Linked DNA regions of Arabidopsis thaliana. The protein of the gene in region 3 interacts with the protein of the main gene of each other region in a pairwise test. Each region holds a gene or a part of one and is shown on either strand. Other genes may lie near its edges.

Region 1 (5,150 bases), on a different chromosome or scaffold from region 3:
TTCTTGAAGCATGAGCAAATCCTTGTCTCTCTGCAGCCCAACAGAAGAACCTAAATGCAGGCTTCCTAGCATGTCGAAAACGTTCTAAAACCTCAACGATGAGATCATGTGATAAATCTAGTTTCATTTCATCAAGAACAGCTTCCATATTTCTATCTAACGCAAACAATTCATCAATCACTTTGCAGACTCTCTCTACTTCTTCCGGATTAGTACTTGATTCAACACAACTGACCCCAGTTTCTTCATCATTATCGCATTCAGATTCAACTTCTTCATCACATCCATCACTAACATTAGAACTACCACTAGAGAAACCTCTACACCCAAGACTCGCATCAAGCAGTTGTACAGAGGAGTGTGGCAATGGAATTTGACGGTAAGGATGATAAGTAGAAGAATGAATCATACGAGAGAAGAGAGCACCGGAAAATCGTACTTCCTCTTCTCCTCTCCCGCCGATTACGCGGCTTTGACTGGAAATGAATTCATCGGCATCGAATGAAGAAGAGCAAATGAGGAATCTTCTTAATGAAGTCTGAGTGGAGCTTCTTCTCCTAGAGAGATAGAGCCATGGAGCAGCAGCCATGGAAGCTCGACGGCGATTAGCAATGGCGAAGTCGGTGAAAAGCCACTGATTTACGGCGGAGAGCTCTTCACGTATTTGGGCCTTTGTTTGATTAGAAGCTTTGAGTGATAATAATTTTGACCCATTAAAGGCCCATTGATCTGGTCACATATAACCATTGGGTCCACCAGGAGCATTAAAGCTCAAACGCATAAAGAATTTTTATTTTTTAGTTGGAAGGTATCTGTATGCATCTTATCTTCGTTTTAGGGTCGTGATATTTTCTCAAGTTTTTCTTAGGGGACCAATTTATTTTTAGATTTATTTGATTCTATCTTACATTTCTCTTAGTTCACGTTGTCTTTGTATACGTGTTTATGGATATTACATAACTGAAAATCAAGATCAGTCAATCAGTGTAACATCAATCATCAATAACCCTGCGGGATGTATATAAAACTAAGGGATATATGAGGAAAATCAGATTCCAGATTAAGTTCATAAATATTGATTCACCTAAAATCTATAATAACATAGTAGTTCAGAAGCATGAAATAATTCTATAAAAAATCATGAATTATCTACATAAAAATATCGCATATTGTAGATAAGAGTCACCCCTGAAAGAAAAACGATAGTTTTCTGTATTTGGTTATCAATCAATCCTATGTGGGTTTATATCTTATCTAATGTAAAAATTACACAAAGGATAGTGTCTGCAAATATCTAAATGAAAACACTTAATTCCAAAATGAGAAATCAAGTGGGTTTTGCCTAGCTAATTGTATAAATAGTAACACAATCATAATCTCTTCTTCCATCAGGTCTTCTTCATAATATATTTCTTCTCTAATAATTGAAAGCAAAAGAAAACAGTTTTTTTTTTTAGAAAGGTAAAGAAATGGAGGAAACAAAGGAGAGAAAGATAGTAGTAGCAGTAGACGAAAGCGAAGAGAGCATGGAAGCTCTGTCATGGAGTCTTGACAATCTTTTTCCATATGGTTCCAATAATACACTCATCCTCCTCTACGTCAAGCCCCCTCTTCCCGTTTACTCTTCCCTCGATGCCGCAGGTTAGTCCTCGTTCTTTCACGATTCATATCTTTCCCTAATTATAATCTGTTCACTTTAGTTATAGATTTTTGTTTGGTCGATTTCCAGGGTTTATAGTGACAGGAGACCCGGTTGCAGCTTTGAAGAAGTATGAATACGAGCTCGTGGAATCGGTCATGGCTCGGTCTCGAACCGTGTACCAAGATTATGAGTCTGATGTAAGCTTATTTCTATCGATTTTTTATCACTTAATTTGCTGGATTATACTTGCTTAAAAAACTTGAGAAATTATGAGAAAGTGAATTTAATCAAGTAGTTATGAGTTAATCTGTTTATCATGAGCAATATTTAGTACAAAAAATATAACATATGATAAGCAAAATATGGTTGTTTTCAAAGAGAGTTGGCGAAATAAATGTAAATATAACCAAATTAATGTGCAGATTAATATAGAGAGACGAGTTGGAAGAGGAGATGCTAAGGAAGTTATATGCAACGCAGTTCAGAAACTTAGAGTTGATATGTTAGTAATGGGCACTCATGACTATGGCTTCTTCAAAAGGTAAGGTTTCAATCTCTTATAAGAAACAAAAATATTTTGGTTTAATGGTTATTTGATAATCATTTGATATATTTGATAGGGCTTTGCTAGGGAGTGTGAGCGAGTATTGCGCCAAACGAGTCAAGTGTCCTGTGGTTATCGTCAAGAAGCAAGCTCAAGATAATTAAGCTCATATGATTGCATTGTGTATATGTTTCGAAAGAACTGGTGTAACACTTGAATCAATCTTCGTATGCGATAATAAAATACATAACGGTTTAAACAAATTTAGCAGATATTTTTGCTTATATAAAACTAGCTGACAATGACATCAATCAACCAATTAAATTCAAATCTACATTCTCTACATACAATGCCAAATTAAAAACTAATGTAAACGCAAATTTCAATTTAACGTATAGAAGAATGTAATGAACCATATACCAAGTTTTGAATATTTGCAATTTTGTTGTTTGAACACTTAATTGTTGTTCGCTTCAAAGTTCAATAAAGGCCTCAAGGCCCAAAGTATATCTGTTACTCATCCAGTCGACACAGTCATACTTAAACGTCGCCGTTTCCGTGTTCGAAGCTTCGTGAAAATCTTCAATCTCGCGAGAGAGAAGAAGAAGAAGAAGAAGAAGAAGAAGCGATGTTCCTGGTGGATTGGTTCTATGGAGTTCTGGCAACTCTGGGACTATGGCAGAAAGAAGCGAAGATTCTGTTTCTAGGTCTCGACAACGCCGGCAAAACCACCTTGCTTCACATGTTAAAGGACGAGGTTCGTTTTCTTCGAGCCATATCAGTAATCGCTGTCTAGAATCTTGTTTCTTTTACTTAGCGCGAACGAATCAAAGTCTTAATCAGCGATAATCGTTTGATTTGGGTTTCAGAGACTGGTCCAGCATCAGCCGACACAGCATCCGACATCGGAAGAGCTTAGTATCGGCAAAATCAAGTTCAAAGCCTTCGATTTGGGAGGTCATCAGATTGCTCGTAGAGTCTGGAAGGACTATTACGCTAAGGTTTGATCTTCTTTCTTCTTTGGATTTTATTGTTAGGTCAATCAATTTAGCAAGTCTTTGGAAGGACTATTGCGCTCGTATAGTTGTATGTAGACTCTAAGCTGACTCTGTTATAGATTACAATCTTCCCTGTGCCCATATAAACAATAGTTAGATGATAGAGGTGAAGTGAAATCTTCAATGAAGTTTGTCATATAGCAATTCTCTTTTGAATGTTGCAGCATGAGGTCCTGTGATTACATTCTGCTGGTTATGTGTACCTAGTAAGCTCTTGCTGTGTACTACTCCTACTCTGTTCCTTAGCCACTGTGTTGCTCCGTTGGGTTATATAAGTTTGCAGATGATAGTTTGAAATGATTGAGCTATAGTAAAATCTTCAGATGATAGATATACATATACATCATATACTGTAGTTTAAAATGACATTGTGATTGGTATGTGGAGCCAGTGGAGGTTGAAAATTAGAAGATTGTATAGCTATAGACTACTCTTACTGTCAGTTTTAGAGTCATGAGGTCCCTTGTGATTTACATTCTCATAGCTGATGATTCCAGTGAATCAAGAGATTAATAGACTCCGGTGTTTCTATTAGCTACCCTCTTTGCATTCTATCTTCAAGTTTGTAACTTTATTATTGTCTCGTATTAGGTTGATGCAGTGGTATACCTAGTTGATGCATATGACAAAGAGAGGTTTGCAGAATCAAAGAAAGAGCTTGACGCTCTTCTCTCTGATGAATCCCTAGCAAATGTCCCTTTCCTCATCCTTGGAAACAAAATCGACATTCCGTACGCTGCATCAGAAGACGAGCTGCGTTATCATCTAGGCCTCACCAGTTTCACCACTGGGAAAGGTAAAGTGAATCTAGCAGGAACAAATGTTCGTCCTCTTGAGGTGTTCATGTGCAGCATTGTCAGAAAGATGGGTTACGGCGAAGGATTTAAATGGGTTTCTCAATATATCGACTAGATCAATCATATTTAAGTCTTATCTATCTATACTGTGTGATTGGTATCTGTACGTGTTATAACCTAATGTATAATTACGATTAATGTGTGTATACAACAAGATTTGACGGCTTTTAAATTATCAATTTTGTGTTTACAGACCAAAGTTGAATCCTATGAAAAGTGTGAACCCATTTGTCTGTGACTGTGTAACTGTGTGGGGCTTAAGAAATGGCTGTATCTTAGCTTTTTTATGAAAATTCGAAAGATGAACACTTTTACTTTAATAATGTAATGTAGAGAAAACCCCATGTGAATCGAGTTTGACAATTAACAATCACAATGTCCTACACTGAAAACCAATCAATTTGACACATAGATGTACCATAATGAGTGTACGTATATTGTTTTACATGTGTTATGTCTCTTTGTGAACTTATCATTATGTCTGTTTTTCTTCTTTCTAGGTATTGTGAAATGAACACAAACAGATCTATGGATAACCATGTATTTATTTTCATTAAAATATGTGAACAATAATACTCCAAAATAGTTCACAAAATAAGTAAAAAAATTTGCTTTTTAGCACCATCACAATGCGTCTTTGATCTCAGCCGCTTCCAAACGTTCAAGTCGCAGCGTAATAAGGCTAATAGATTAGATTTTGCGACTCAAGATTTTGCAGCTCAAGCATATATATGTCTACGGACTATGCAAATATGGATGTGTAAGAAAACTATTAGGTGCTCACTTTCTCTTTTTATAACTTTTTCAGAACATTTCTCCTTTGGACTGATTCTTCTCTACGTGGCCCAAAGTTAATATCAAAAGTTTTTTTTTAACGTATTATTTCTATCATTTGTTATTAATTTTTTCTCCTTTGGATTGATTCCTTGTTACAGTTTTTGCTCTTCTTTTTACTATGCTGTTTCTTTTTTATATTCGCCACTAGCTAGAGACTGGTTCTATGTCCCAGGACCCATGAAATACCAAGCACGAAAATGTGACCAAATGAA
Region 2 (5,456 bases), on a different chromosome or scaffold from region 3:
GACAATGCTAGTTTCTACAGAGGAAGGTCAGAGATCTCACAACAAAACTGAATGAACCAATCATCTTAAGAACAAACCGCATAAAAAGCTGCAAATTTTGAAAAGGGCTAATTATCGAAGCTAAGAAATCCTCCGCTTATGAATTGAGCTCAGCACAAGAATCCGAATACCAGAGATATACATCACAGAAACTAATCTAGGAATGATAGAAATTCTGATTCCATTAAGAGCAAACAAAACGGAGCTTGGTTAAACACTAACCAGAAAAGAAGCAGCAGATTCTAGTGACCGATAATGAAGTCGCTTCTAATCAGAGAGGGCGTGCGAGCCCCCGAAATTAGGGTTTCTAGGTGAAAACGATCGACAATTGTAAATCCTCACTCGTACCTTCGCTCTCGCTCCTCCTAATTTGGACCAGTGTCGCTATAAATTTCTGCAGAACTAACTAGAATGCTATGCCTAGTGAGTGTTACAATTTGTTTTGTCAGAAAAAAAACACCCTGGTCTTTGTTTTTTTTAATAAATGGCTGGAAAGCCACTTTCTCTGGAAAATAAAGCTAGAATGCCACCTTCGTATTTTCATTTTCTTTTACAATTTTGTTTTAAATCAAAAACTAAGGAAAGGTCCAAAAACCCAATTTCAATATTGAAAACTACCAACCCAACCTAAAGTATCCGATTATCCATTCCAAATTTTATGGTCCAACCCTGAACCTCAAATCTTAGTCCATTGGGTTTTAGCTTGCAAAATATATGTTTTGTGGTTTTGTGTGTCCCACTAGTGGCCACGACTTACTACAAGCTCAAGTATTCGCGATTTAGCTGAAGAAAATTGAGCGTGCGGATCAGCCAAATCCGACTTTTCATGGTTCAGGCGAACCGGCAGGGTTTTCGACCCACATTTTGTTCAATATATGAACCAAACTTATGATTATTACGACTCCAATTTTACCAGATACATCCACACACCAAACAAGTCTCATCTTTCTTTACACAGATGGTTTTAGACTTTTAGTTTTCAACTTTAAACAAACAAACAACACGTTTTGCTTATTAGCAACACTAATCTGTTGCTGTTTCTGTATTCATAGCCTTTGTATTTTTTTTTTCCGTGTATCTCAATGTTCCGCCGCACCCGAATGGTAAGCTCTACGCCTCAACTGAGATTCCCCTGATGGCTGTTGCAGATATATCCTCGTTGGATCATTAGGGTCCACGTACCTGCACATACACAATGACGACCACACAAGATTTTATGAGGAACAACAGCTTTTACTACTATCAAAAAACTTTCCGATTGATTTCTGATGGGACTTACGCATGTCTCATCATTTCGTCCACAGGTGTCTGAGCGGCTTGAAGAGGATCAACATGAGGAGCTGCCGCTGCTGCTTCTGCTGCTTGTTGCATTTGTCTGTTGTATTGTCTCACTGATGATATGAGATTCAAGAAGAGAGGAACAAATGTCCCACAACCACCTTCCTTAAATAGGATCTTGAAACTGTGTGTTGAATATAGAGCTCTATGCTCATTTTCTGGCACCACCTGGAAATTTTGTTACATGCCAATAAGTAAATATGTATAGTTTCCTTACAAGGAAAGAAACTATAAATTCTCCATGAAAGTTTGTACTTACAGGCTCCACTTGTCCAGCAATATTGTTGCAGTGAAATATTGGCTGATTAAATTTCTCGGCATGGATGTAAAGCTACAGAGTAACATATAATCCATAAGCTAATATGTAGCATGTAGTTCCATAACCAAATTTAACAGAGCTACACTTGTGCCATGTATTAACTAAATCAGAGACAAAAATAAGATAAAGTTACTGTACCAGGGGCATGTCAAAAGCAACAAAGTTGTCAACAGGCTTGCTTGAAACAAAGACCATCCGTATATTAGACAAGTAAATCACCCCCTTGGCCTTAACATGACCTCCATGCCCTCTGGATCATACAACAAGAAAGAACATCAGGGAAGTGTTTAAAGCCCAGAGCTCATATGTCTGTTCACTTCTGAGACTTATCTTATTTACAAGTAAACTTAATGGTTCATATGCTAGATGAGTGGATCTAAACCGACTCAAAACGGTACTAAAATGGAGACCAACAATAATCATCAAATCAATAAACCACTTAAGGAGATCCAAAACATGCGTGACGAGAGAAGGGAACACGAACCCAGGGATCTTGTCGACTTCAAACTCAACACCATCTCGGACTAGGACGAACATTTCATTAACAAAGGGAACAGGCATCCCATTGGGTAGTAATTGAGGGTTTAGCGCCATGAACTGCAATTCAGATTGATCAAGCCAATGATTATATAATTCCTTGTTCTGTTCTTCTTCTCTGCGTAACCTGATCACACAAATGAGAATATAAACACATTTCCAAATATACTTAGACAATCAGAAGATAATTCAAAGGAACATGCTCCAAATTAGCAAATAATTATTCACAGATCCAAGTAACTAGAGCCAATTAACATCCACATATCATCAGCTTCCAATTTCAGATATGCAAAAGAGCAAATAAAATTGAGGTTTTTAGCTAATTCAAATCGAAACGTTCCTATAATGTAGAAACAAAGACTAGGATTAATAATACGTGTTCAAAACAAATCAATCAACAAAGAAAATATCTAATTCCTTAGAGAATCAAAATCTGATAGCAATAAGAAAGCAGTAACAGAACGATCCAAGTTCAATTTCAAGCAATCCTTTACTCGTAATTTTCTCGCGAATAGAAAAGCTGAAGGAACATACCTGGGTCTACAGAGCTTAAAAGGATTTTGATCGGAGAGATTGAAGAAGAAGAGGATAGGGGTAATAAAAGGGCCAAGATCACAGTTTCTCGTTTTTTCCAGAAAAGAGACGCGACGCGGTTTATTCTTAAAACCTTCTAACCATTTTATTCGTCCCTCTACTTATTTCTTTAGTTCGATTTTCGCCCGCAATTTGATTTCGTTACAATTGTCCCCATCTACAGTTACTATTTGGGCCTTATTACATCTCAGATTAAAGGGACCGTTCAGCCCATTTTCAGTTGTTTTAACTTTGGTTTCGGTTTAGGTGTTTATTTATTTTTTTGACATCTTGTTTCGGTTTAGTTTTGGTTTGGATTGTTTGAGCTTTCGATTTTAACCAAAACGTGAAGACGAGTTTTAGAGATTCTTGTTATTGTTTTAGCTATTTATAACAAGTAGTTACCTAAAATGCCAAAATCATTAGCTTAAGATTAGGAGTTTTGTTGTTTTTAGAACATTTTGCTCAGTACAATTTAGAAACCACTTTCAAAAGAGTATTCAGCTATGCTTCTATAGTCCTATTATCTATATGAAACTTTTGATAAACTCTTCAAAATAATGATACAAGTTCTTTAATTCTGCAACAATTATACCATTTTAATAAAACAACCAATAAGATACAACAAGTGGCAGAAAAAAGCATATTATTCCCTTCCAAGACAAGTTGATCGATTTTGTGATGTGGGATGGAAAGTGTAACTTTGAGACAATAATGATTTGTAGATTATATTAGTAACAATTTATTATTTATCAGCAAAGACAGAGAGAGAGTTCACAAACAGCATCATAATGTAGAAGAGAAAACAAACAACAAACAAACAAACAAAAAACTTAAATACAAGCCTTAAGAAACTATCAAGGGTTGTGAATAGTATAATCTGCAGGTTTCTTCAACAAAACTTTTTTAACGGTAGTTTCTGTACACAGGGCTGTACATGCTGCTCTCTGCAAACTTGACAAGATCCTTTGCACGTGGCAGGTTCGACGCCAATCCTACACCACAATACATCGATTTTAGAACTTGAGATTAGAGAGTTCAGACAGTCTCATTAAAAGAGTTAAGACAGTTTCATTCAACTAACCGAGGTCATAGGTTTTGGCGGCGACACAGGCTGCAATGTTAGCAGAGATCTCTCTGATGTTTGAGAATGGCGGGTAGATCAGACCATTGGCGTAATGCTCTTCTGTCACTTGTGCGGCCAATGCTTCAGCTGTTGAAAACATGAGAGAGAGATGACATTGAGAATCTTTAAGTGTCTTTATCAGTATCCATGTTTGATTTTCTGAAGTTTATTTTTACTTACAAGCTGCGAGGAGCATGTCATCACGGACACGAATTGCCCCAGACATGATCAAACCAAGACCCAGACCAGGGAAAATGTAGCAATTGTTTGCCTGAAGTTAAGTAGGATAGTGGAAATATGATGTGAGCTCTAAGATTGTCAGATGTACAAAGTTGAGAGAGAAGAAGTTGTTGAAATAGCACGAACCTGGCCAGGCAAGTAGGTTTTGCCATCGTACACAACAGGATCAAATGGGCTTCCACTTCCAAAGATTGCACGACCCTTTTTTTAAGCACAATATATGATTAGATTCGAGGAGCAGCATGAAAACCAAATTATAATTTTGTTGTATAATCAGGAGTGAGGACATGAATCACATTTAGATGTCATATGAGACAATATTATACCTTGGTCCATGTGTAAGCCTGTTCAGCAGTACACTCAGCTTGAGAAGTAGGGTTTGAGAGAGCAAGAATCAACGGTTTCTATAAGCCAACACCAAGACCAGCATTAGAAAAATAGCATAAATACCTTGTTTTCTGAAAAAGCAGAGAGTAAGAACAAGAAGAAACCTCGTTGTTGGTAGCCATGGCCTCGACAACTTCTTTTGTGAAAGTCTGACCCACACCGGATGTTCCAATGAGAACGGTTGGCTTGATTGCCTGTTTGAAAAAGTTTCAACAAACAGTGAACAAAAAGATTCTCTATTCACTATCAAGCAATTTAAAGATCAGTTCATCACGTACATTAACAGCACCAATGAGGTCCTTCACAGGTTTGTGCTCATGTGCCCATGGCTGCTTGAAGTGCTGAAGAGATTCTTTGCGTGAGCTAACAATCAGTCCCTGCAAAATAATGTTCAAAAGAGAAACATATATGAACAAGAACGGTATAGCTAAAAAAGATGAGACTGATCTTGGTGGTTGGCGCCTAACAATACCTTGGAGTCCACAAGCCAAATCTTCTTCCGGGTCTCAGTGATGGGAGCTCCAGTCTACAAAAAAAAAAACAGATATGATCAATCACATACTCTTAGCCAAAAAACAGATCAAATGCAAGAAAACTCCCAGATTGACTAACCTCTTTCGAAATCTTAAGAGCAATTAGCTCAGCGATACCGGTTCCAGCCTTCAAAGAATCAGCGAGATAAAGTGTAAGCAGCAAAAAATAAATGTAAGAATTATAAGCTTATAGAGTATAATGCTTTCTGGTCTCACCTCTCCGGCACCCAAGAACAGGAAGGTATGGTCAGCCAGTTTTTTACCAAGCACCTTCTGAGCGGCAATAAGCCCAGCAAGCACCACGGATGCAGTACCCTGCAATTACAGAAAACAAAATCAAGTTCTTGGTAAGCACTCTGACATC
Region 3 (7,543 bases):
GATGACAAAAAATTGATTTAAGGCCAAAGGAGAGAAAGATGCCAGTCAAATGTTATGAAAAGACATGCTTGAATAATTGGTATGAGATATTTTATGAAATACTTTTATTGCATACCGTATTTTACTATAAAACAATTTTCTTTTCACAAACACAACCATCTTAGATTTATCCATGTTAGCCGAGATTTTTTTTGTATCCAGATAGTCCACTTTACAAAAAAAAAAAAGTCTAATATAAAGAAGAAGAAAAGCCTCAAATGTAGTTGCAAAACTCACATGGCCTAAATCAGAACAAATTAAAGACGATTCACCACTCGCCACATAATAGTTTATTGACAATTTGAACCCACTCGTTACCAAGGGTCACTAACCAAACGTTACCAAGGGTCCTACTCCATATCGCATAATATGACTCACATTCACTTCTTCTTTTCTCTTTAACGATTTTATGCTATTAGAAGAAACATTTTTGCAAAGTTCTTTTTTATTTTGACCCCCAACAAAAAAAAAGTCAGATGGAAAGTACAAGAATCGGACTCTGGATTCAAACGAGAATATTAGTTAATAATTTTACATATATAGTTATAATCTTTGGGGGCAAAGTACATGTGAAAGCAGAGCATATGATAAGGGGTAAACGATTGAGTACGAATGGAACGAACACATGCCATATTTAATATGAGGGACAGGAACGGTCCTCTGATCCATTCTTTTGATCAGAGAGAAGATGAAGAGTGTCAAGTAAATAATGGCACGTGACTCGGACGAAGTATCCACGTGCGTCCTCTCCCCACACCCATGTGGCCCATAGGATATATGACCGGCTCCGTCGGTCCAACTTGTCCATGTTCCCCTATTTAATTTTTAAACACACCCTGCCGTTAAATCAAATTTTCCAAATAAATTAAAGTGTTATTTCAAAATTTTAATGTAAACTTAGTAGTATTGTCGCTGTGCTATGATCAAAACTGTATAATTAAAAGATCTAATAGGATCCTAAAGAATTATCTAGTATCGGAAGATATTGTTCATGGTAAAATAGTTTATATAAGTCTAATTAGGATAAATGTATAAGATAAGAATTGTTTTTTGTTACTAAAGACAAGTAAAAGGAGAGAAGACGATACATTTTCTTAGCCTATTGTTTTAACAATACCAAATTAAGAAATCACACACTACATATTATCGACTATTCAATTTTAAAAAAAAAACTAAGGAGTGAAAACAAAAATACAAAACCCCAAAAGAGAAAAAAATAATTAAGAGCTTAGCACGCATTTAAAGGGGTGTGTAAAAAGTACACTATTTTCGTGACTTTTACTCCCTTCACGTATACGAACACAAAACACAAAAGAAGAACAAATAATTTTAAGAACCCTCCACAAACGCATTAGAAGAACCCTGACTCGATCTCTCAAAGACGGTGGTGTAAAGCGGAGACCGGGGCATGTGCGGCGGCTGCAGCTGGTTTACATTGGTAACACTTGGCAAAGAGACCAAAAGTGTCGACTTGACGAACAAAGTTGGTTACACTAGCCCATCCACCGAACCCAAATCCGACTATAAGAACCCAAACCACCACGAAAGCATTCAACACGTACATCGCCGTCCAGCTCGGCATAAAGAACGGTGGCTTCTCCGCCGCATTCTACAAGAAAGATCCAAAACACAAAAATAATCAGAGAACCATTAAAGAAATAGAGAGTGTGTAAGTGTTTTAGAGTTTTGGTCGTATAGTAATGGACAAAATCCAAAGCTTTGTTGACCCATGAGATAGAGAGAGAGAGAGAGAGATATGATTGTGATTTGTCATACTCAGACTCTCACTTTAGATTAATGTTAGGCATAGAGTCCCTATTGTACAGCTCCTTTTCATTTCTGATTATGACTCTTACCTATTCCTCTCCCCTATTTTCCTCTACTTTTATCTTACGTAAATTTAATATACACTGTTTTGAAAGAGAGAAAGAAAAAGAAGTCATGGTCAATTACTAATACTAACCTAACCGGATATTGTATTTTTTCTTCTAAATGTAACCAAATAAAGAAATGGCTGAAACCAACTCAATAATATATTATTTGGAGGGGACGCCAGTAAGGAATGTGGGTGATGATCCTATCTTCCGTAAGATACGGAACACTGAACCCCATCTATCTTCCACAAAAGACGTTTTTGCCCTCCAATTTCACAACCCTACCCCCCAACTATAATATTCCTCCACCGACTCTTCATTTCATTTCTAAAAAATTATTGGTAACTCAATGTATTTTAGGTTAAGTTCGAGTTTTGAAACGCTAAAAGAGAGTGAGCTAGTAAAGATGTTATACCTGACGAGCGGAGGCAGATCGGTAAGTGAGCATGTGAGCGAGAGATGGGATGATATAGACGGTGAAGCTAACAAGAAGAGCACCGACAGCGGAATTGATTGGACCGAAAAAGGGGAAGATAATAGCTAAGAACCAAATAGGTATGACCACAGGCAATCTAGCCAAAGCCCTTAAGCAAATGCTCTTTGTGTCATGCATCCCAATCACTTTCTCCCACACAAAGTACAAAGGTGTACAAGCGAACCCGAACGTTATAAACTGCACGAACAAGAACACGTTGCATTAATCTCTCATGATCAAAATTTACTTAAAAAAGAAAGAACAAAAATGTTGTATGTGTATACCTGATGAATGAGCATGAGGATAACAGCGGCGTCACGCCACGCGTTCTTGGGCATAAGAGAGAAAGCGTTGGAGTGGTCGAGAAGTGCGTCTCCGAAAGCCCAGTAAACGGCGGCAGCTGACGGAATCGTTAGCGTGAACACGTATAACGTCGCCATCAAGTAAATGTACTTAAACTTCTGTGGTTTCCACATAGCATGCATAATCTCACTGCAAATTAGAAATTACTGTTAATATTCATAATTTCATCCAAAACTTTAACTATGTAAAAGATTGGATTCACAACAATCATTGACGCATAAAAAGGGTGTATTTGACATTTCGCAAAAGCGTACTATTCCTACTAGTAGTAGTAGTGCTTTGGTAGCAATAGTGTTTGTTATTCTTTATAGGGATAGGAATAATAATGGTTATTCTATTTTATATTTAAAAAGAGCTTATTTTATTAGTACTACTATTTTAAGGATTGCTAAAAATAATAATGACAATCATGATGACTGTAATAATAGTTACACCTTATTTGCCGGCAAAAGCTGCAATAGAAGCGGCGAAGAAACGATACAGCAGCACCCATAATTTAATAATATGGCACCATTTTAATTTACCATATACTTTTTCTGCCATTTAGCTTTAACTTAAATAGTAATTCAACTATGTCTGACAAAATTTATTGATCTTTTATTAGATACAAAATTAATAATCATTAAGAAATCAAAAGAAGAGTAACTTACACAGTAACCGCGTGACCTCCAAAGGTGTACAAAATATTTGTGGCTCCCGTAAAATAAAGCACTAGCTTTGTTGGACCTGAATGTTTCACACCTTCCGCCTAAAATAAACAACAAAAAAAAAATTTGATTAGGAGAATATTAAACAGCTAATTTTGTCTAAGTTATATTATACATACACTTTTTAATACAAATTTGGGTTAAGATGCAAAGAATAATCCCTGATCTTAAAGAGAAAATACGAATTTTTTTTATTCTTCTTTTTAATTAAGGCATATACTGTCACCTCAATGCAAAGCATATAAATATGAAAACGACAGTGTAGTGATCTTTATAATGTGATGAAATATATTTTTGGTGAAATATATTAAAACATTACCTGGCCGTGGATGATGGAGGCAATGGCTAAGTACCAAGCGGTGTAAGTGGTCATTCCAAGGCCAAGGAATGACCAAATTCGGTAATTGTGAAACGACGGTATAAAGACAGTGGTTGCACAACACGCGCCAAATATGTAAGTCCATGTTCTCTTGTCCAGATGATCGTTTATGTAATAAATGTTACTGCAAGTAAACACCAATCATATTTCAATTATCCTCCATTCTTAATCATTAAAGAGTGATTAAAAAGATAAAGAGAATGATTAAAAGATAACAGACCTGGCACAAGCAATGAGTTGGATAACAGATCCAAACAAGAGGAAAGTGCAATTAAATGCGAGTCCTAGTGCTTTCCAGTATGAACCAAGTAATCCATCAAGTACTTCAAACCACTGTTGAGATTTTTAAAAGTGTTAGATTAGTGAAAGATAATTATGATTTAGTGATTCTGATTAGAGAGAGAGGGTTTAAAGAGGGGACCTGAATGACGTGGTTTTTGAAGCTTTTGCCTTCTTTTTCTTTACGAGCTCTGTATTCGACGTAGAGAACAGAGATGAGATAAGCAGTCCAGCTTCCTAGTAAACCATAGAAGATCTGAAGTACTATTCCTGATAACATTCCTAGTTGACTAAACGAGTACGGTAATGTCAATAACACTTGAGCCACCTGAAACCAACGATAATTACTACAAATCAGATCTTTCTTCACTATGAGAAATCCGAAATTTTGAATCTTTAGTTTATGGTTTTATTGGTTTACTTGGTTAGATGCGCAGCTGAACCAAGCGTCCCAGACAGAGCCACCGTGCCATAGGAAATTGCTTAGGTTAGAACCGGTGGAGCCGTCGTGTTCTTCGTTATCTTTCCCGGTACGGTTTCCGTTTACCTGATCTGTTCCGTTGTCATTTGCTACTATCGCTTCTACTCCTTCCGACATTTTTTTAGCTTCTAGATCTGAGAAATAAAACAGAGCGAAAGAATCGATTGTGTTTAGTAACTAAGTGAAAACAGAGAGGAGAAAACAGAGCACATAAGAGACTGAGAGAGATCTCAATCTTGGAGAATTCAAGAAGATAAAACAGAGAGGGAAAGAGAATTGACAGTTCTTTGTTCACGTTTTTTCTCTTCTTCAGTGTGAAAAAAGAGAGTAGAGAGAGTGACTTACGTTTTCTTCTATTAGAGAAGAGAAAGAATCAGAAGCAAGAAAGACCCAAGAGTGGTTTTTGTCCGTTTGAGCTGTCACTTGTTTCTTCTCTTTTCACTTTTGTTTAAGAAAATCTCAACTCTGTACTGTTTCTTCTGTGTCTTAAAAGAAACAGAGCATAAGAAGAGAAGAACCCAGAAATGTGCAGAGGAGGAAAGAGAGAGAGAAGGGAAGGAGAAGACTTTGATCAGAGCAAAAGAAGGAATGAAGCTAAAAATACTATAAGATGCTTCGGGCTTCACCCCCTACTCCTCCTTTTTATATACCAATCTCTCTTTTTCATTTTTTCTTACTTCTCTTTGGTTTTTTTATGTAATTTTAAAAATATTAAACAGGTGCTGTAAAATCACACCATTAACTTTTGTTTAGGTAACGGTAGCATCTTACTTTTTTTTACGTTTTCGCATTGAATATTAATGTGACTATTTGACATCCAGAATTTCCGGCTTCTTCTACTATCCAATAATAAATTAAAACATAACGCCACATGGGTTCAAAATACATAAAATCGTATTTTACTATATTTCATCTACTAAAAAGCATTAGTTGTGTGACGAAAACGTATCATTTAATTCGAAATATTTAAGATATGATGACAAACAAATAATGCAACGTATTAATGTTTGACGATTTATTGACTTGTTATAGGATATAAATTAAGAGCATACTCAATGGTGGTTTCTAACCATAGTTTCTAATCTACTAAAATAATAATAAAATAAGAAATAATATTATTTAATTTGAAAAGTTTCTAAAAATAGTTAGAAGAGTCTTCAAAATCTCTTGAATTAGAAACTCTCTCACATTTCCTTATAAACTATCTTAATTAAATAATATTATTTATTATTTTATTATTATTATTATAGGTTAGAAACTTTGCTTAGAATCCACTACTGGATTTGCTCCAACATATCTAGATTTAGATATCTTCACTTTTGTTTTTTTTCAACAGCTATCTAAATTTAATACCGTACCTAAAACTAGGATGGACAGATCAATAATCTGCATGTTTTTAGAGTTTAAGGAAAACGTAATCATCCTTTGGTTTGGTTATATGATCAACCACTAAATACAAGTTTTTCACATCATTCTTATTCTAGATTACTAGCTGGAATAATCTATTCTATGGTCTAAAGTTCAAATTTTTCAATTTTTTATCCTACAAAAATTAAAGAGCAGACAAATTTAAGACACCTGATCGTCGACCGAAGGCTCATGTTTTCAGTGATCATGAGTTTGCAAAATACTCATTAGTCATTAGCATTTGCCCATCAAAGAAATAATTGGGTACTACTATACGGCATATACCAAATACTACATGATACTAAGAAATGATTGGATACTACGCCATACTCTCTCTTATACGCATATTAACACATATAGTTGGAGTATTATCATGATGAAACTAGAATTTTCCATGTTAATTATCTGACGGCTAACATAAATCATTTAGAAATAGTTGAACAGTTTAATAATTTTATGTTTGAATGATCTATAACCTATTTTCTAATTATTTCAAGTTAAAATATCTCTTTCGTTTAAATTAGTAAGATAAAAAAATATTGGCAGTAAATATAAATCATTGAATTCATATGAAATCTCAATCCTTAGATGAAATAGTAATGTAAAATAGTATTTTCTACAATGCCATTCCTGGATACATGTTAATTATTCATACTTTCTCCTAAGGTCAAAGGTAGGTAGGCATTAATATATATTGGTCTAATATGAGTCTTACTATTTTTGATACTATAAGTTATAAAATTTTGTTAATAAATTGGATATATATAGTATCATGTTCATTTTTCACTTTGCTGTTTTAAAAATATTATATTGATGTGCACTGTACGAATTCTCACGTAGTGTGAATATTAGTGTGACAACCTTTGTTTCCAAGTTTTGTAAGTAACTTGCTTGCTCAGCTGCTAAACCTCTCAGTGTTCTCACTAGTCATTTTCTCTAATTATATGGCTCGACAATACTTAAATGTTGGATACGTTATCGTAAACTTCCAGCTAAGAAACGGTTTAATTATACGTAGACAAATTGACTATTTCTTGAAACTTTAGAATATAAACAAGTCTACTGATCCATGAAATTTAATCAACTTGCAGAATATTCTAAACAAATATCGTATACTATAAGATACATAGAGCCTATGTATCTAGTGTGTGTATTTATGTAAAGGCGGCAATGTTGCAGGTCTTCTTTAATTTGGTGCAGAAACTGCAGATTTTACCCAACGAGTTGCTTGCTTTTGCTTCTGTTTCACGCAATATTATATAAATTTTAGTTTGCAGTTAATGAAAATAAATTATACAAAACTTGAATTTACAAGCAACTCAAACTTCAGTTGTATATTAGAGCGTCTTCTGTCTTCAAGACTCCAACCCACCTCTAACAATAGGAACATATTTTTCATAGGCATTCAATTATCAACTCCTAAATTCAATAACGAATGGTTAAATATGAAATATCATTGTCTATCACTTCCCCAAATATGTTCATCCCTCCATTTTAGAGTTTTTTTTTTTCATTTGTTTTAATCACATACTTAGCTAA
Region 4 (4,317 bases), on a different chromosome or scaffold from region 3:
GGGTTGGCTAAACTGTTGATTAAGCAAAACCAAGAACCTCATACCATGTCAGCTGTTGCTGGATCCTTTGGTTACATTGCTCCAGGTAATACCCGTAAACAAAAAACATTCTTTAGAGTCGAATAGAGTCGCTCATTGTGTGATCTCTAATATTTTTATGTTGCAGAATACGCATATACGTCAAAGGTAGATGAGAAGATCGATGTGTACAGCTTCGGGGTAGTTTTGCTAGAGCTGGTGACTGGAAGAGAAGGAAACAACGGAGATGAACACACAAACTTAGCAGATTGGTCATGGAAACATTACCAATCTGGAAAACCGACCGCAGAGGCGTTTGATGAGGACATCAAAGAAGCTTCCACGACTGAGGCGATGACAACAGTTTTCAAGCTAGGTCTCATGTGTACTAACACATTGCCTAGTCATAGACCTTCCATGAAAGAGGTCTTGTATGTTCTGCGCCAACAAGGACTTGAGGCGACGAAGAAGACTGCAACAGAGGCATATGAGGCACCTCTACTAGTTAGTTTATCGGGTCGAAGGACAAGTAAAAGGGTAGAAGATGAAGATTTAGGTTTTGTATAATCAAATAATCACAACACTTGATGTTGTTTTTTTTGTGAAATGTACAAATGTATTAGAAACCATTTAGTTTTTGTGTAAGCAAAGTTTTAGTTAAGAGTATAACTACCAGCTTGTAACTTATTTGAGAACAAAATCTGAAAGTCTGAATAAAAAATGGTCTTAAAGAATTTGTTATTCCTTATAATAATAACACTCTTATTAAGAATCAAGGCAAAATATGCATACAAAACAGAGAAAGATGATGATTGATTTGTGTTACAATAAGAAGAGAAATTATTTAGAGTCTTGCTGAACTTTCTTTAACTGAGCCTCGGTGTTTCTTCTTGCGCCTTGTAGAATCGTTTTATCCGCGGTTATGAAGAACGCAGCGATAGAAGCTGTTCCAATGATCACCATAATCACAAGATAGAAATCAGAAGAAAATTGTGGAGAAATGAATGTACGAATACTTAAAAACCCCAAACTCAACTAGGTTCAAAAGGGAAGTTCGAGGTTTCTACAACAATGTTAAAGCTAGTATCTTTTTTCTACTTAGTTCCAGGAAGAACATATAGTAATGATTTAAGGCATATTGCTGATAGAGCTAACCTGAAGAAATAATGAGTGCTTGAGCAGTGTAGTTGAGGTTTGCCTTAGCCCACGGGAACATACGAACGGCAGCTACCTGTTACGAAAACAAGGCATGCTTATGTACCAAATTCATATCTTATATACACATCAAAAAGAATGTGACTCTACTTGGTGTATTCAGAAATCACAAAATGAATAGGTAACAAAATTGAAACTCTTGATTATTACAGAACATGAGATTGGTGAGTCACTTTTGTCTTAAAATTCAACAACAAAGAAACATAACTCTTACATTTAATTCATTTAAGATCTCAATTTAAAAAATTTAGATAAGTGAGATTATATGATTACTGTGGGAATCGCACTGGCGACGGCGGCAACGGCGGCGGCCTTAGCTCCGGCAATAGCTCCGGCTGTAACATAATCCAAAGTCATCAATTTAAAAGATTTTTTTTAGGGGAAAAAAGAGAGAGAGAGACGGAGAAAGAAGAAGAGACCTTGTTTGGAAGTTTCGGCTCGATGGATCTTAGCAATCTCGTCGGGAGAAGCTATGACGAAGAGATTCTGCTGCCTCCGGTTACCCATTTCTGACCGATTTTCCATTTTCAGTGTCGCTTTTTTGATCTTTCGATTTCAAGGAGAGAGAGAGAGAGAGAGACGGGTCGCGATTTGCCTTTTTCTTTGGTTAGGAAATAAATGATTAGGACGAAAATTAAAAATTCGTTTTTTTTTTTTATAAGTTGGGAATCTTTCACCAAAATAATGAAACGCCAATATTGAAAACAAAGTTGTCAAAATACTATAGTCTATAAAACGCCAATTTAGAAATGTATTTCAATCATGTATTTAGAATAATTTGTGTTAGAAAACAGATAAAACAATTATTATGTTATAGATTATTTTTAAAATAAAATAAAATTCAGTGGTTCGTAAATGTTTGTTATTGAGAATATTTTAAATTTTAGATTTTTAGTATTTTTAATGCACAATGGTCTTTTGGAGCGGTTTTAGAAATCGACTTAAGAAATGTTTGGAGTCAATTTTGTTACCATACGGATATCTTTAGAGATATAAGAAATTAATCGATTCAGTTTTAGATAAAATTTATAAGTGAAAAAATGATTAAAAAAATATAATAAATTAGTTAATTTCATTAATGATGATATTTTTGTATAGAAAGATAAATTAAAACTTAATTTTATATGTGATTAAAATAGTAATTTTTAAAAAATTGGTTAGTTTATTTTAATTACATAAAATTTAAAATAAAATTTTTGGTATAGAAGTTGAGTTTTAAATGAATTCGGCCTTAATGCTTCAAACATACAAAAGCGAAGATATAGAGAGCCCATCAAAAGTACTAGGGACCAACAGAAAATGTTAAGATTTTATTAATAGTTCAATATTCTTTTTTTAAAAATATTATAATACCTGAATTGGACTTGAGCCAAAGTTTTACAAATCAAAACAACAAATACAAAACGGAGGCAAGAATCTGACAATATCTCCGGTAGACGAGATCTTACTTCGGCGGTAGTTCAATATTGTTCTAATGATTTAACTTGATTGCTTAGATTGGATGATAGAATGTATTTCTAGTGTTCTAATTTAATTGGTTACTTGAACTTTGATACCCTTCTATTGCTATGGTTTTTATACACTTGTGGCAATGAGTGATATTGTAAATTAAATTAGAAAATATGGTGCTAAGGGATATGTGATATAATGCATATATATCCGAGCTACTCGAAAGTCGAAACAGGGTCTAAGCTTCCACCTATGGCTAATTGAGTACTTATGTGCATGAAACATGAGCATAAGAGGTTGATGGAGCTGTTTTACTGTATGCATCTTTCTGCAACCCAAATCCAAAGAGTAGTTGTAAATTTCATGAAAGTGAATGTAATGTCTATAGTCATGTCATAATGTTACTGACAGTCCAAGAGGTGAAGAGCGGTGTGCGGGTGTCTCCAAAATTGTATGTGGTATATTGTGTTTTTAGTGTCTTATGTCCTTTGTCTAGTGTTTGTTTTGAGTTGTTTGTCACATTTTTGTTCGTTTTTAATGTATTTTTCGGTTGTTTTGTACAAGTTTTACGAAGTTATACTGGAATTGGAGACTTTTTAAGTGAAAAACAGACGTTAGGAGATGAAACGGAAAAATGGTGATTCAAGACAACTCCGATGAATGCCATCAGACAACTTTTTGATGCTTAATTTTAAATTTTCTATCAAATTCCACTGGAAAATGGCATCGGACAATTCCCTGATTGAGCACCAATATAATTGAACCCTACCGCAAGAAGTATTGCCTCCTATAAAAACAAGTTGAGAACATTTTCAATGCGAGTTGTCTATAAAATTTTCGGTTGCAAATAAAATATAAATATTATTATTTTGGATCCTTAATTACATTTTTCCTACTACTTATAGAGCTTACATATCTGTTGTTTCTACTTTTACTTATTTTTTTAGTTATTGTGAAACAAAACATATATATTAATTTATACGAATTAAAGGTTTTCAGTACCTTATAAAGGTTAAAGACTATTTATTTATTTTTTATTTAATACAAAATTTGGTATATAAGCTCCATAAAGGGTAGCAAATATTTAATTTAATACAAAATTAATTATATGTACATAATTATATATATATATATAGTAACTTAGACACAATTAAAATTTGCCTTCTCCTTATAGTATAATTCAATTATATAATATATATATATATATATATATATGATTTTACTTTTCCTCTTTTTTAAGTTGATAAGAAACATACACAAAACTATATATACAAATTAATAAAAATATGCATATTTAACGTACATTTGGCTCATTCTTTGTGCTATGAAACTAAGATTAACTACCAAAGATAATCCCAAAAGTCATGAACTTATGGTTGATCCTTCCTTTTGGTGGAACTTATTATCCACAGAATTGTTTTTATTCATTTGAGTATTTTTTATTACTATTGATGTCGACGGTAATATATACTTATATAGAGGTTGAAACTAGTTTATTTTATTTTTTATGTATACACGGAAAAATTATTTTATCACATTTTATTTTTCAACATGTCTCTTTGTTCTACATGTAGAGGTTGAAACTTTCCACCGCGGCATCAAGACTCGATGCAATTTGTGATTAGCAGTTTAGAG

The links.
Region 1: the proteins of AUX1 (region 3) and AT3G62560 interact in a protein complementation assay, tested with the Arabidopsis thaliana proteins (one large-scale study listed by BioGRID).
Region 2: the proteins of AUX1 (region 3) and AT5G11680 interact in a protein complementation assay, tested with the Arabidopsis thaliana proteins (one large-scale study listed by BioGRID).
Region 4: the proteins of AUX1 (region 3) and AT5G25940 interact in a protein complementation assay, tested with the Arabidopsis thaliana proteins (one large-scale study listed by BioGRID).

What each region holds. Positions count from the first base shown.
Region 1 is NC_003074.8:23,134,725-23,139,874, forward strand, and holds AT3G62560 (Ras-related small GTP-binding family protein), read left to right. Parts: upstream 1-2,561; 5' UTR 2,562-2,814; coding exon 2,815-2,943; intron 2,944-3,055; coding exon 3,056-3,187; intron 3,188-3,835; coding exon 3,836-4,156; 3' UTR 4,157-4,421; downstream 4,422-5,150. Other genes in the region: AT3G62540 (Pentatricopeptide repeat (PPR) superfamily protein), read right to left, coding at 1-589; AT3G62550 (Adenine nucleotide alpha hydrolases-like superfamily protein), read left to right, coding at 1,470-1,641, 1,730-1,839, 2,065-2,183, 2,263-2,350.
Region 2 is NC_003076.8:3,756,297-3,761,752, reverse strand, and holds AT5G11680 (classical AGP protein), read right to left. Parts: upstream 2,945-5,456; 5' UTR 2,768-2,944; intron 2,361-2,767; 5' UTR 2,291-2,360; coding exon 2,181-2,290; intron 1,947-2,180; coding exon 1,835-1,946; intron 1,709-1,834; coding exon 1,637-1,708; intron 1,546-1,636; coding exon 1,319-1,545; intron 1,222-1,318; coding exon 1,119-1,221; 3' UTR 840-1,118; downstream 1-839. Other genes in the region: NADP-ME2 (NADP-malic enzyme 2), read right to left, coding at 3,713-3,801, 3,891-4,019, 4,113-4,203, 4,299-4,373, 4,499-4,576, 4,664-4,753, 4,838-4,936, 5,032-5,085 and 2 more.
Region 3 is NC_003071.7:15,970,664-15,978,206, reverse strand, and holds AUX1 (Transmembrane amino acid transporter family protein), read right to left. Parts: upstream 5,332-7,543; 5' UTR 4,943-5,331; intron 4,732-4,942; 5' UTR 4,715-4,731; coding exon 4,538-4,714; intron 4,445-4,537; coding exon 4,259-4,444; intron 4,171-4,258; coding exon 4,058-4,170; intron 3,962-4,057; coding exon 3,778-3,961; intron 3,500-3,777; coding exon 3,402-3,499; intron 2,881-3,401; coding exon 2,673-2,880; intron 2,587-2,672; coding exon 2,329-2,586; intron 2,241-2,328; coding exon of another isoform or gene 2,235-2,240; exon of another isoform or gene 1,649-2,234; coding exon 1,415-1,648; 3' UTR 1,027-1,414; downstream 1-1,026. UniProt on the Arabidopsis thaliana protein: Carrier protein involved in proton-driven auxin influx.
Region 4 is NC_003076.8:9,053,394-9,057,710, forward strand, and holds AT5G25940 (early nodulin-like protein), read right to left. Parts: upstream 1,863-4,317; 5' UTR 1,759-1,862; coding exon 1,653-1,758; intron 1,569-1,652; coding exon 1,507-1,568; intron 1,250-1,506; coding exon 1,174-1,249; exon of another isoform or gene 963-1,173; coding exon 859-962; 3' UTR 729-858; downstream 1-728. Other genes in the region: AT5G25930 (kinase family with leucine-rich repeat domain-containing protein), read left to right, coding at 1-85, 167-585.